Linked DNA regions of Mytilus edulis. The protein of the gene in region 1 interacts with the protein of each later gene in a pairwise test. Links are inferred from orthologs where the notes say so. Each region holds a gene or a part of one and is shown on either strand. Other genes may lie near its edges. The genes, in order: regulator of MON1-CCZ1 complex-like and abl interactor 1-like.

The links.
Region 2: the proteins of regulator of MON1-CCZ1 complex-like (region 1) and abl interactor 1-like interact in a two-hybrid assay, tested with the Caenorhabditis elegans proteins (2 studies listed by BioGRID). The link is inferred for Mytilus edulis from reciprocal best matches to the Caenorhabditis elegans genes Y50D4A.4 and abi-1.

Annotation. Positions count from the first base shown.
Region 1 is NC_092344.1:110,107,688-110,115,632, reverse strand, and holds the start of regulator of MON1-CCZ1 complex-like, read right to left. Parts: upstream 3,199-7,945; 5' UTR 3,157-3,198; coding exon 3,046-3,156; intron 1,145-3,045; coding exon 1,068-1,144; intron 1-1,067.
Region 2 is NC_092345.1:44,932,501-44,939,924, reverse strand, and holds the start of abl interactor 1-like, read left to right. Parts: upstream 1-4,176; 5' UTR 4,177-4,214; coding exon 4,215-4,331; intron 4,332-7,424.

The DNA.
Region 1 (7,945 bases):
AGATTTATACACTTAAACACAAGTTATTGGCTGAAAATTACAAAAATGCTTATTTGGGCCCCTTTTTTGGCCCCTCACTTATTGAAACCCTCCTTGGAGCAAGAACCCCAAACTCAATTCCAGCCTTTCCTTTGTAGTAAGAAACCTTGTAGTATAATTTCAGAGAGATTCATACCCTTCAACACAAGCTATTGTCTGTAAACTACAAAAATGATTCTTTTTGGGCCCCTTATTCCTAAATATTCAGGGATATAAACTCCAAACTGACACCAAGCCTTCCCTTCTTTATATGGAACCTTGTGGTACAATGTCAGAGAGATCCATACAGTTAAACATGTTATTACCCCAAAACTTCAAAAATGCTTGTTTTTGGCCAATAATTCCTAGACTGTTTGCCCCATAACCCTTAAAATATATCCCAACCTTCTAATTAATGGTATGAACATTGTGGTACAATTTCAGGGTAATTGAAATACTTATACACAACTTATTGACCTGAAACTAGATAAATGTATGTTTTGGGCCCCTAATTCCTAAACCGATGGGACCATAACCCTAAAGATCAATCCCAACCTTCCCTTTGAGGTTACAAACATTGTGGTAAAATTTTATTGATTTCTATTTACTTATACTAAAGTTATTATCCGGAAACCATCCGTCTTTGGATGACGCTGACGACGACGTGATACCAATATACGACCGCAAAAATATAAAAATTAGAAAATAGGGAGGCCAAAATCAGGCCTTATCCTACCTTGTCCTTATCTGATTAGATAAGTTGGTCATTCTTGAAGTTATATTTCTCAAATTGCTCGTCATGTTCAGAACAAGACAAAAATGTTAGTGACTTTCAAAATAAAGAACAGTAAGTTAACATGGTTAAGCACTTATCTTCTGGTATATTGCAGGATAAAGTTTTGCTTCATGTATGTATTGGATAGCAAATTCAGACAAGTGATGATCTTATCAGACAATAATTTGAATAACAATACATGTATATAAAATTAGCAAATTAAATCATAATTTCAAATTTCTTTCAAATATAATGTACGGTACAAATGTACAACCTGAAAGTAAGAGAGTTGCTATCGTTTGGTCCTTTAACCACCACCCCCATAGCTCCACAGGAACGTACTGCAAATACCTACAACATACATAAATCACTCAATGGAAAAAAATCAATTAACCCCCTTTCCCTTTTTTTTTGTGAGATATAAACAAAATGTTTTAATTCATAGTGTAATATAAATTCTATGTTCTTTTGCCTCTGATCAATCATTATTTTGCATGTAAAAAATTAAAGGTTATCTCTTTGAAGAAGACCATGTGTAATCCTACAAATAGGTATTCAATTAATATTTGTTCCAGCTTTTCAAGTTATGTCCAGGCTTTTTATTTCCTTGTAAGTGGTCACATATAAACAAATTCAGACAGAGTTATCTATTACATGTACTAGTATACAAATAGACATTCAACCTGACTCATCTTTCCAAATTATGTTATGGCTTTTTTTAATTCTTAGCAAGAGGTCATCCTGTTGGTTTTTGATGTGAGCAGTTTTTATTACGATATGTGTTTTAGTTTTACAACATATGGTCAAGAATCTACATAGATAAAGGGGTGGTTTGTGTGTATGCAACACTGTTTCACCCCACCACATTAGAGCCTGTACAAAGTAAGGCTATCTGAACCATGTGTTATTGTTGTTGTTTTGTCTTTGAAATCTATTTATTCTGAGGAATTTGAGTTAGGTGAAGGAGTTTGTTCTGTAGTTAGAAAAAAAGATTGAATACACAATGTTGAATGTCAGGGATTTCTGTTATCCATTTCATGTACATTGTATTAAGTTATTTGACATATAAATAAAGGGTATTCTTTCTGGCTTCTGTTGTCCTTGTAAAACATTCATAATATTTACTAATATCATCTGTTGACAATGGTTGATGGCAAAGACAACATAACTAAAGTAATATTTTTTTCCACAATACAGTCCCTTTTGCACTCATACATGTACAACATCTTCTTATATCCATACTTAGTACAAGTATAAATAAAAGGATTGATAGATTGATTGTTGTTTGCTTTAGTCCAGTAGCAAATATTTCACGAATGATCAGAATGAGAACAAATCATCAATTAATATGGTAGGTTCTGTAAAGTGAAAGGTTGAGGTATCAATGTAGTCCTCCAGAAAAGTAAGCTTACAATCGCCTTCATGATGTTCATGTGGCATCACAGCAAAAAAAAAATAGCCTTCAGACGTCAAAATATACCTAAACACAATTTGTCCGCAATTACTGGACATCACAAAGGTTACTGTAAAATTCTGACATCACAATAGTGTCACAGATTCCAAAATAGCAATTTATATACACCAATATCAAGTTTTTTAGGACCTGGGTCAATCTGTGTATATGATATATGACATCATTGAACAATGGATTCTTATCGAGACCTTATAACATAAATGAACTTTCTAACAGGAAATATACGCAAAAGAGCACAAATTTAGAATTCTTCTATCATTTAAACTATTAACACATTACCATGTTTACGTAAAATAAGCAAATCCCAACCTGACAGGATAATGGCGGTTTGGCCATGATCAACAAACTGAATATTTTGCCATGACTTCGGTGCGACTAAATGGAAAGTTTGAAATAAAAACATGATTTCAATGACAAAGGGTAGACAAGACTGTCATTGGTTGAAACAACACTGAATCAAGGTACCAGACACATATACAAATGTGTACACAAAAATATGTCTCTGAAGCCTTGCAGACAAGTGTTGAAATGAAGGGATTCAAATGAAGTTACAAAGTCATTTTCTAAGCTATGACAAATCAGAGTGTGTGGCCTTCAAAGACAACATTCTAGTTGTACCACAGGCACTAGACGTTCTGTCAATAGCATGAAAATATTGGCAATGGGAAGAAAATAGTGTCCATATATATAATATATATATATGGACACTATTTTCTTCCCATTGCCAATATTTTCATGCTATTGACAGAACGTCTAGTGCCTGTGGTTGTACATTCACCTGTCTATTAGCGTCGTCATAGAATACGTTTGTGACTTTATCAACTGGGTCGAATCGAATAGGGTTTTTACAAAGTTCGATGTAAAAACACCCATCGTTTTGTTGTGCCATTTTTGCATCTCTTCTGTTTTCACTGTCTTCACCAAAAGTCAAGAGAGATTCCGAAAGTCTATTACAGGTGCGTTCGAACAGACATCTCTATCCTTTATTTAAATAGTACTGTTTATCATACACATTTTATTTGTGTTTTCTTTGAACAATTTAAAGTAAGGTTAATTAAGATGAGAATAATAAGATTTGGGCGGGCAGGGGAGAGAAGAAGGATTTTGTAAATGCATATCCTGACAATTAAATAGATAATAATAAAATAACATGGTATAGGACACAATACAAATGAATATATTCTATCATATAAATAACTTCCTAATTCTTACTCTATCTGCCTGTTATGATCTGTTATGGTTCTTAGCTTTTATGTGTGAGTGGAGTATCATAACTAAGACTACTATAACGTTATAGTAATCTCAGATCATAATAATTTCAGAATGCTAACTTAAGTTAGAGTGGAATAAAAAAGTCATAAAGTGACATAACTCTAGAAAGGCACCCTGCCAAAAAAAGTGTCCCCTATCATTTTATGTTTCTTATTTGCAATAGAAAAAAAACCTATTGACACAGAGATATGTTGAAATACAATTTAAAACAAGAATGTGTCCCAAGTACACGGATGCCCCATCTGCACTATCATTTTCTATGTTCAGTCAACCGTGAAAATGGGATGAAATCTCTAATTTGGCATTAAAATTAGAAAGAACATGTTTACTAAGTTTCAAGTTGATTGGATTTCAACTTCATCAAAAACTACCTCGACCAAAATGTTTAACCTGAAGCAGGACAGACGAACAAACGAACAAATGGATGCAAAGACCAGAAAACATAATGCCCATAAATGGGTCATAAAAAAGACAATCTGATTAACAGCACATACAACATTGCTTATCATTTCAAAGTCACTGGACCATGACAATATATCTGATAGTAATACAATATATAGAAAATAGCATTGATCTACAAAAAGCTCATTTAAAACCGATTAACCCAAAAAATCTTAACAATAATTGAGGCTGCCGCTAAAAACGCTGAAAAAGGCAACACCTACATATCAGCAGTTTTCATTGCAGGCTAGACAAAACTTGACAAAAAGTTAGGTGGAAGGGGGCAATCACTTTGGTTTCCCTAAATATATTCGCAACTATAATTAACTCTTGATGATTAAGAGCATGTCATATTGTACAGCTACTTGTCTATTGTTTAAGAAAGTATGTTGCATCCTAAGGAATTTTTTACTAAAGCTTCTTCCTAATCATGAGTAAAATTTAGATTTTTTAACATTTAGGTAGTTTGCATTTTGATAAATGGACTATTTATCTTTATGGCTGATAACAGCAATAAAGGGCTGCGCTTTAGCGCATGATTACGCCCGTTGTTTGAAAGACGACGGGCGTATAAAAATGGCAAAAAAGACTACAATGACAATGAGGAGCAGCAAGAAGATAACAGGAAAAGTGAAGATGGTGAAAGTGACTCTACTGAAAGTTATGATCTAAATGAGGAAGTAGGTGATGAAAGTAAGGATTTCATTGATGATGAAGATAAAGATTTCATTGATGATGAGGAGGCCTCTTCTGAGAATGAAAATGAGGATTTTCTGATGATGAGGACAGTGATTACAGTGAAGAAGACACTGATGATTAAACCTAGTTCAGCTTTTCAATATTTAGCATAAAAAACAAATATCATTAACATTGGCATATAACATAGAAGTCTTCAATGCAATATAAGGAAAGTGATATATGATTATGGGTTTTAGTAATTCTATGGCTGATTTACTAATTTTATAGTAGTTTGAAAGAAGGTAATTTTCTTTGGGTATATTGCTCATAGTTAGATTCTGTTGAACACAGTAAGGAATCCATACTAAATTATACAAAGATGTATGCAAAAGTTGTTCAAATGGTGCTTAATATGGTGGATAATGATTATTACCTTTTATTGTTTAGAATATTCACAAGATGATCATATTGATAAATGTTTAGGAGACTTGATTTCCTTATTTTTTTCATAAAATGACACCCTTTAACATTTAAGGAATATTAAGTCACATGTTAGGATTTTCATGTTGTCACTTGTTCACTTATTATGTGCTATTGTAGACTAGTTATGTTTTATAACATTTTTTATTGCGCTCAACCCTTCCACCGAAACCGAACTCTATAAAAAAGCTGCAATGCTAAGGTATCATTTGTGATTTCAATTGCAACCAATTTTAACAAGAGTAAAACATCCTATATGCAAAAACAGTATTTGATTTTTATCCATAGCTTAGATAGTAAAAATGTTATCATAAAATGATATATGCCTCAGGGAACAGTTAGTATCTCAGGGACTGCTAATGTGCTTTCATCCTTGCAACCATTCAATAATAGTACAAACGTATGACATTCATGGAATCTATTTTTTACAAGAAATTTAATGTTTTAAATTGAACTAAAGATTTTACAAATTTTATGTTTTCATCAGATTTTATTAAGTATTATTTGTTACATCAATAGATATAAACAATTCACCAAAGTTTCATGGACATTGGTGAAAGCCTTTTTGAGTTATTGTCTGAAGTGTTAAAAAATTCCCCTTTTTTTTATGAATAAAGCCCCATAAATCCAAAACTTAAAATCTGAAATTTATAAAAATTGAAAGGGAGCTTACATCAATAGATATAAACAATTCACCAAAGTTTCATAGACATTGGTGAAAGCCTTTTTGAGTTATTGTCCGAAGTGTTGAAAATCCCCCCTTTTTTATGAATAAAGCCCCATAAATCCAAAACTTAAAATCTGAAATTAAAAAAAAACGAAAGGGAGCTTACGTCAATAGATATAAACAATTCACTTAAGTTTCATGAAAATTGGTGAAAGTGTTTTTGAGTTATTGTCTGAAGTGTGGACGACGGACGGACAACGGTATACCATAATACGTCCCGTCTAAAAGACGGGCGTACAAAAACAGAAATAACCTTTTATTCTGATTTAAACATGTTGAAAGATAAAAAAATATTGCAAACCACTTTTTTCCATTTTAAATACTTCTCATTCACACATAAAAACTGTATAATGTATATGGTTATGCGAAACATACATTTGAAAACTCAGAACTTAAGTCTGTTTTCAATTATCCAAAACGATTATTTAAACCAACATATTCTCAATTTGCCATACATGTATTAAGTACAACTTCATTGATTGTTACCAAACAAACATGAATACGTATTCCACCTTTTACCTTAATTTTTTTAATAGAATAATGTAGTGTAGATCTGAAGTTCTGAACATAATAAGCCCCCCCCCCTTTTTTTTTTATGAATAAAGCCCCATAAATCCAAAACTTAAAATCTGAAATTTATAAAAATTGAAAGGGAGCTTACATCAATAGATATAAACAATTCACCAAAGTTTCATAGACATTGGTGAAAGCCTTTTTGAGTTATTGTCCGAAGTGTTGAAAATCCCCCCTTTTTATGAATAAAGCCCCATAAATCCAAAACTTAAAATCTGAAATTAAAAAAAAACGAAAGGGAGCTTACGTCAATAGATATAAACAATTCACTTAAGTTTCATGAAAATTGGTGAAAGTGTTTTTGAGTTATTGTCTGAAGTGTGGACGACGGACGGACAACGGTATACCATAATACGTCCCGTCTAAAAGACGGGCGTACAAAAACAGAAATAACCTTTTATTCTGATTTAAACATGTTGAAAGATAAAAAAATATTGCAAACCACTTTTTTCCATTTTAAATACTTCTCATTCACACATAAAAACTGTATAATGTATATGGTTATGCGAAACATACATTTGAAAACTCAGAACTTAAGTCTGTTTTCAATTATCCAAAACGATTATTTAAACCAACATATTCTCAATTTGCCATACATGTATTAAGTACAACTTCATTGATTGTTACCAAACAAACATGAATACGTATTCCACCTTTTACCTTAATTTTTTTAATAGAATAATGTAGTGTAGATCTGAAGTTCTGAACATAATAAGCCCCCCCCTTTTTTTTTATGAATAAAGCCCCATAAATCCAAAACTTAAAATCTGAAATTTATAAAAATTGAAAGGGAGCTTACATCAATAGATATAAACAATTCACCAAAGTTTCATAGACATTGGTGAAAGCCTTTTTGAGTTATTGTCCGAAGTGTTGAAAATCCCCCCTTTTTTATGAATAAAGCCCCATAAATCCAAAACTTAAAATCTGAAATTAAAAAAAAACGAAAGGGAGCTTACGTCAATAGATATAAACAATTCACTTAAGTTTCATGAAAATTGGTGAAAGTGTTTTTGAGTTATTGTCTGAAGTGTGGACGACGGACGGACAACGGTATACCATAATACGTCCCGTCTAAAAGACGGGCGTACAAAAACAGAAATAACCTTTTATTCTGATTTAAACATGTTGAAAGATAAAAAAATATTGCAAACCACTTTTTTCCATTTTAAATACTTCTCATTCACACATAAAAACTGTATAATGTATATGGTTATGCGAAACATACATTTGAAAACTCAGAACTTAAGTCTGTTTTCAATTATCCAAAACGATTATTTAAACCAACATATTCTCAATTTGCCATACATGTATTAAGTACAACTTCATTGATTGTTACCAAACAAACATGAATACGTATTCCACCTTTTACCTTAATTTTTTTAATAGAATAATGTAGTGTAGATCTGAAGTTCTGAACATAATAAGCTAGAAACAAATCTCAAGTATACACAGCCAAACTTATAATCTTTATCTGAACAGTTTGTCTTTTCATCTCTGATTTTTT
Region 2 (7,424 bases), on another chromosome or scaffold:
TTGCTGCAAAACTGTCTTAGTATTTGCTTTAAAATCGCTTTTTTTTCAAAGCACAGTTCAGAACACCATCTGACTGTAACATATTGTCATCTGCAGTATAATAATTAACTACCGCCTTGATGTTGCCTGTCTCAATACATCCAACGATTTGTATAATGATAACAAGTCCTTGATAAATACGATATCACAAACTAGTTAAAACATTTACTTAATTTTATCATCGGTACCAGTAAGGACATCAATAGTAAATATAGCTCAACATGTAGACTTCTTATACGTTCAGGTATTTCACATCCAATATTTTATGGAAATATTCTTTTATAAAGCACAAAAATGTCAGTATTCACCTCAGAAGATAACAAAACCTTTAAATAGACTTATTAAGAAGGGGTATAGTTACGATACTGTTCTCAGGTCATTAAAGATTGCATATTTTGGCGTTGATATTGATTCACTTATGCTGAGACTACTATAACAACTGTGAACTATATAAATGTTCCGGACCATATGAATATTTGGACCATACGCGTATGGTCATGACCATATGGGTATATACTCATATGGTGTGACCATACGCGTATGGTCGCGGTATATTTATGCTTACCTCTTTATATAACCCTTCTAGTTGTCACGTCACTAAAAAGACACTACTAAAGGTATTTTTTTCATTAAAAATTAGTAATAACAAGATTAACAAAATAAAATGAGCAGTTTCACACAGCAAATTTCATCACTAAACTATAGTAAACACACATTTTTTTTTCATTACCGATATGCTATTACGAGTGAATGACAAAATGTCGACACTAGTTCATTTTTTAAAGTTGTCTGGTGATATGATGTACTTCAGTCATGTTGCGATATTGAAGATCTAGTAGAGCTTTTTCACCGTAGACACATCGGAATGACCCCGGACCCAAGAAAAGCTATGGTGCCGTGTGGACGTAAATGTCACCCTACGCATCCATGCAAGAATACAATTAGTGATGAAAACTAACTTTGGCATCAATATTTAATGTTATTTGAATTGTAAATAATACAATTGCATGTAGCAATCATTGTTATTTTATAAAGTTTTCTCGTGCATATTATTGAAAAATATACCTATATTGTCCTAATACTCATATGGTCCGGCCCGTTTATAACAAAACGAGTATATACTCATATGGTCCGACCATACGCGTACGGTCGGACCATATGAGTATACGCATATGGTCATGACCATACGCGTATGGTCCAAATACTCATATGGTCCGGAATATAAACACATTTATTATTTTAAACCAGTTGTTGGCATGACACGGGTTATGTTCTTCTCATATATGTTATGAATTGATAATTCTTGTGTACAATTTGGAGTTTAGTATGGTGTTCATTATCACTGAACCAGTATATATTTGTTTAGGGGCCAGCTGAAGGACGCCTCCGGGTGCGAGAATTTCTCGTTGCATTGCAGACCTGTTGGTGACCTTCTGCTGTTGTCAGCTATATGGTCGGGCTGTTGTCTCTTTGGCACATTCCCCATTTCCATTCTCAATTTTATATTTTATTCTTTCTTAGTTACGTAACCCTTATAGGGGCATAAACTGACAATTCATGTTCATCGATTTGAGTGACTCAAATTCTTATATTTGATCACAGGCACTCGTCTCAGAATTTGTTTTCCCTACCGTATATTCCTTTATATAACACAATTAAGTACTTAACTTCCGATTTAGAAAATTGCCGGACGGTGACGAAATTCTGTTATATACCGATTTCTCGGCTGTTCCGTTTTAATGGGTTTACACTAGTAATTTTTGGGGCCCTTTATAGCTTGCTGTTCGGTGTGAGCCCAGGCTCCGTGTTGAAGACCTTACATTGACCTATAATTAATGGTTTACTTTTATAAAGTATGTCTTGGATGGAGAGTTGTCACTCAAATCTTCCTATATCTATCAAACCCATGTAATAATAATTCAATTGCAAGCGAACCATTTATCAGCGATGTTTCTTTACTTATTATAACAAAATTGAACTGTTATCAATGATTGAATAAAAAAATCGTTTATTTTTTTCATATCTTGTACAGGTATTTTTTTCCACCAATCAATATACATTGCGCCCAAAATTTGAGCTACACAATCAAAAAAAGTAAAAACACAAAAATACTGAACTCCGAGGAAAATTCAAAAAGGAAAATCAAAAATCAAAAGGCAAAATCAAAAGTCCAAACACATCAAACGAATGGATAACAACTGTCATATTCCTGACTTGGTACAGGCATTTTCTAATGTAGAAAATGGTGGATTGAACCTGGTTTTATAGCTAGCTAAACCTCTCACTTGTATGACAGTCGCATCAAATTCCATTACATTGTCAACGATGCATGACTGACAAAATAAAGCCCAGTAAATGATTATTAGAATGATTAGAGTGATTAAAGTACATTTAAACAAAAATGTCGGCACATGTATACGATGCTAGATTGAGAACTGGTCAGCCAGAATATTTCAGTTGATACAAATGTATTTACAAAGATTAGTTGGAAACTGATTGAGTCTTAATATACGGAAGTGATTATATAGTTTGAATTTATTATAGTGCAATTTTTATATGGATAAAACACATACACCATTTTGATAAAATTTGGGAAATTTTCTTTTTGGGGGATGTTATATGTATCTTTATTGTATGGTCGTAGCTATGGAAATAGATGTGGTTTTTTATGCTCTTAAGCAAATATAACTTTAGCGGCACGGGGAGGCAAGTATATTTTCCCCCATGTACGTAATACTAATTTAAACAAAGTAATATGTTGGATAATCAACATTGTCATTGACACATCGATCATTCAGTAATTTTGGAAGAAACTGTGACTTGGAGAAAAAAGTAAAATCACAAAAAAAATGAACTTCAAGGAAAATTCAAAAAGGAAAGTCCCCAATCAAATGGTAAAATCAAAAGTTCAAACACATCAAACGAATTGAAAACAACTGTCATATTCCTGACTTGGTACAGGCATTTTCTTATGTAGAAAATGGGGGATTGAACCTGGTTTTATAGCTAGCTAAACTATAAATTATAATTCTTAATATATCATACATGTCCCAGCGAACCGAAACGTGTGTATACTGTATACGCTTAATGTGTCCCCTTACCCCAGTTCCCTAGACTTATGCTTATGGTAGACAACTCCTGGTCGAGTTTTTTTTATTTTTCAAACTACAAAAAAATGATATTTTCTAGAAGTTTTTTTTTTTTTTAAATTGCATATAAAAGTTTAGCGACTCAATTGAGGTTTCAATAAGGCCTTACGTAAAGCTTAATTAAGCAGCATTCATATAATAGATTCCTCTAAATAAATAATGTATTGTTACTGCCGGTTTCTAAAAGTTATTGTGTGAGTTGCTTAGGATCAAGTTTTCTTTTTTAGCACAATATAGGAATTTAGAAAAAAAAGTCAGAAAAAACTACTAAAAGCACTGACTTGCAATATTGATGGAAAAGGCCGTATGTCAGTTTTACTAGGGGGATTAAATGAAAATTGTGAAATATTATGAGGGATCAAGAAATTTTATATGTTTGAATTCAAAATGACCAGCCCCCCTCCCAGGTTAAAAATGATAAGTCCCTTTAGAAATTGATTTAATTGTTTATACCTTTTTTTAAATTAATATATGTTTGTTTTTTATTTAAAGTTTGACTGGTTTACACATAAATTTTACTGTTTCCTATCTCAGTTTCCTGGTAAGATTTGTTCACAGAATGGGATAATATTAGAAGTCATAGGCGGATTTTTTTTTTTGGGGGGGGGGGGCAGGGGGGAAAAATTTGGTTGCTTATATAGGGAATCACTGAAGCGTTACTGGAGCGGGCCCCCTCTTAGGTCAGTCAGTGGGCCCCACTTATGAAAATTTCTGGATCCGCCACTGGAAGTTTCAATTTATTTCTTTTAAACAGATGAATCCAATATTTAATCATATTCATAAATTATTAACATAAAAAACGTGTAGGAAGTGGACCTAGAGTCTTTTGATGCAATATCTGATTTTTATTTAATTCTTACTCCAAGTACAAATTTACACAGCTTAACAATATCATCAAGACCGGAGACGAATATTTTAGGTGGCGAATCTGTCTCTTAGCGATACGCGCCGGTAATAATATATTGGCGTACGCCAAAGTACACTGAAACAAGTTAACCTCAACATAATAAACAGGAAGTAGTAAAAATGGCAGAAGTAACGCAGCTTCTTGATCAAGAAATCCCAGAAGGTCGCCAACATCTACAAGAAAGTTATATAAATCTTGACAAAGTTGCACAGTATTGTAGGGACAATTATCTAAAGGTAGTCCTTTATTTCTTCAAAAACGCCAGTTGCCTGCGAACAACACAGGCTCACAGCTTCCTATTCTCACTCAGTCACAGTCCTCATGAATAGCATAATTGTTAATTCACTCTTGAAGGGGTTCTCATTTTGGGGTCTGGTCCAGGATCCCTCTTATTGTTAAGTGAGAATCCTGTAATCTCAAATGTACTTCTTGTTGCCAAAATAGCGCATGTAATTTCTTGTGTCCCGCAGGACTTCATTTCCCGTTTTCCGCTTAATGATTCTACTTTCAATCGTCACACGATCCAATGACCAATCCCACCTCACGCTTAGACCCCAATGAGACTCACTTAAAATTGGTAAGTACTACAATGTATAAAATGGAAGAGATTGAAAATAAAAACAGAAAAACAGACATGTGCAATTTCTAAATTAACATCAGTCACCACTCCTGTCATTCATTGTTTTATATAATCCCTGAATGAAATATTTTTCACCTAATAAAATGCTAAAACCTTACACATTTGCCAAATAGACCTTTATCATGTTTATTACTATTTGAAAATCTGCTCTGCTTGACCCAAGAATCTGTGCCTCTTGAATATACACCTTATCGCTATTTGTCCGCCATTGCTGGAAATCACACAGGTTCCCGTAAAATTTTGACGTCATAAAACTAAATATCTGACGCCACAATGGAAAAGTGATTGTTGTTGACGTCAAAAGTTCAAGCGGCCGGGTCAGCCGGGATTAGCGATAAGGTGTATTGACATCATACATTTTACAACAATCAATTTACCATTGTCAAATGATTGTGGGGGTCTCATTGGGGGTTCTGATCCCGGATCCGGCTTTCTGTTGTGTCAGATTCCTGTATCCCGTTTACACTATGTATGTAAGCAATTCACATTTTTTTTGTAATTTCCCGTGTCCCGCTAGACTCCATTTCCTGTTTTCACAGCACAAGAATTTGACTTCCATGTGTCACGCTTACAAAAAATCGGCAATCCCGCGTCACGCTTAGACCCCAATGAGACCCACATTGTGGGGTCTGATATTTTCTATTATCAGTGTTCTAGCTAGAAAGTTTGAACAGGGCGCAACGCTCGCCCTTTTTTGTTGACGCCCTAGCTTTTTTCTGTGGTTTCTCTGGCGCCCTGCCGTTTTTATGGCGAAAATCTCGGCATTTCTGCCTTTAAAATACCGACAAATTCGTAATTCTTTCATAAACAGGAAGTTCACCTAGCTGTGTAAACTGTACAATTAAGTGACCCATTAAGTGCATGGCTTCACTTGTCAGCTTTGATGTCAAGTACATTGTTAATTAACAACAATTACCTTAGCTTTTATAGGTCATAAATAATTTTTTAGAACTCAAAAATGTTTGACAAAAAAAAGATTGTTACTTCCCCTTTTTTGTCACCTTTCACAATATTCTTCTTACAGTCAGGGGACTTACTTAAACAAGTGATTTTCTAAATCACTGATTCAAGTAACATTATTTCCATAAAGGTTGGAAGTTAGAGTTTTCTTTCTTTAATAATCGCCTATTTAAGTAGTACAAATTAATCACTAGAAGAAGTGATTTAATATTAGTGTAGCTTTAAATATAGAATACTAATGATCCAGGGACTAATTATGTTTCTAAACAGTAAAACTTATCAGAACCAACATCTGTGTTGTCTAGGATGACCAGGTCATTTCAGGTGATGACCTTGTACTGAATCTAGGATAATGACATAAAAATCACTTGTTTAAGTATCAGACCTGAATTTCCTTCCCAAAAATCACTTCTTTAAGTATCATTCTTTTAATAACCTCCACTAATTTCAACACCCCCGAACAGTGAAATTTTTATCGCGAACAGTAGCATTTTATTACACAATCTGAAAGATGAAACCTTGAACTTCACAGGAAAAATACCCTCACTGCTGTGAAAAATCTTTTAAGAAAGTATCAGTTCATTATGTAAAGCCATTATTATAGCATTTTTTCAACTAAAGTAGAATTTTCAGGTAAATGAAAGCATCAAAGGCATAAAACTTACTAATTAAAAGATGTTACTTAAACCTATGTGTTTAAAATTTTGAAAAAACTACAAAATCCCAATTTGTGACAAAACCTCGAATTTGCTACTCAAATAAGTGATTTAAAAATCACTTATTTGAGTAAGTCCCCTGACTGTCTTAAGTTTTATGTTCTTTTTAAAAAAAAAGATTGAATTAATAACAAATTGAATGCAAATGCATTTTAAAGTATAACTTTTAATTAAGTTTACCTAAAAAACCTGAATAATAAATATTTTTAAAATTATTTTTCACATCTTCACTTCCATTGATTGATTTATGAAGTGCATTAAAAAATAATTTGAAATAAGAGTGTTTTCCAATTGCCTTGACTGTCAACAGTTGCTCTTGGCATTGTACATTATGCCCTTTAAACAAAAGTAAATGCAACAAAATATTTGAGGTGATTGAGTGAGTAAATGTACATTGTAGATGATACCCTGATATTAAAAGTTAAACATAAAACATGGTGCCATTATTTAAAATTTATTACTCAATTTTTACTGAAAATTGATAATACCATAGTGCCTTAGTTATATACTAATTAATTATAACACATAAATAATTGCCCTTTTTAATGACATGTACTCGTTAAATTGCCCTTTTTAAATCCTGGCTAGAACACTGATTATGACATCAAAATTTTCAGTGATGTCCATGCCAGTAAGGGCTGAAAAATAGATAAAGATGTACATGATATAGGCCACTTCACAGTTAAAAATGTATTTCAGCCATATTGAATAGGGGCAGATTGTTTTGGATAGAAGTGATAGAAGTGGAAATAGTATGAAAGTATGGAAATACTATATAGATAATTATAAGAAAATGTGATATGAGTGCCAATGAGACAACTAACCTTTCAAGTCACAATTTGCAAAAGAAAAACCCTTAGACAGTGGCAGATCGAGATTTTCATAAGAGGGGGGGGCTTCAGTCTTGCTTCAGTGATTCACTATAAAATCAACCAAGTTTTCCCCTTGAAAAGGAGGAGGCTCAGGCCCCCTGGATCTGGCTATGCTATAGGTCAAAGTACAGTCTTCAACAT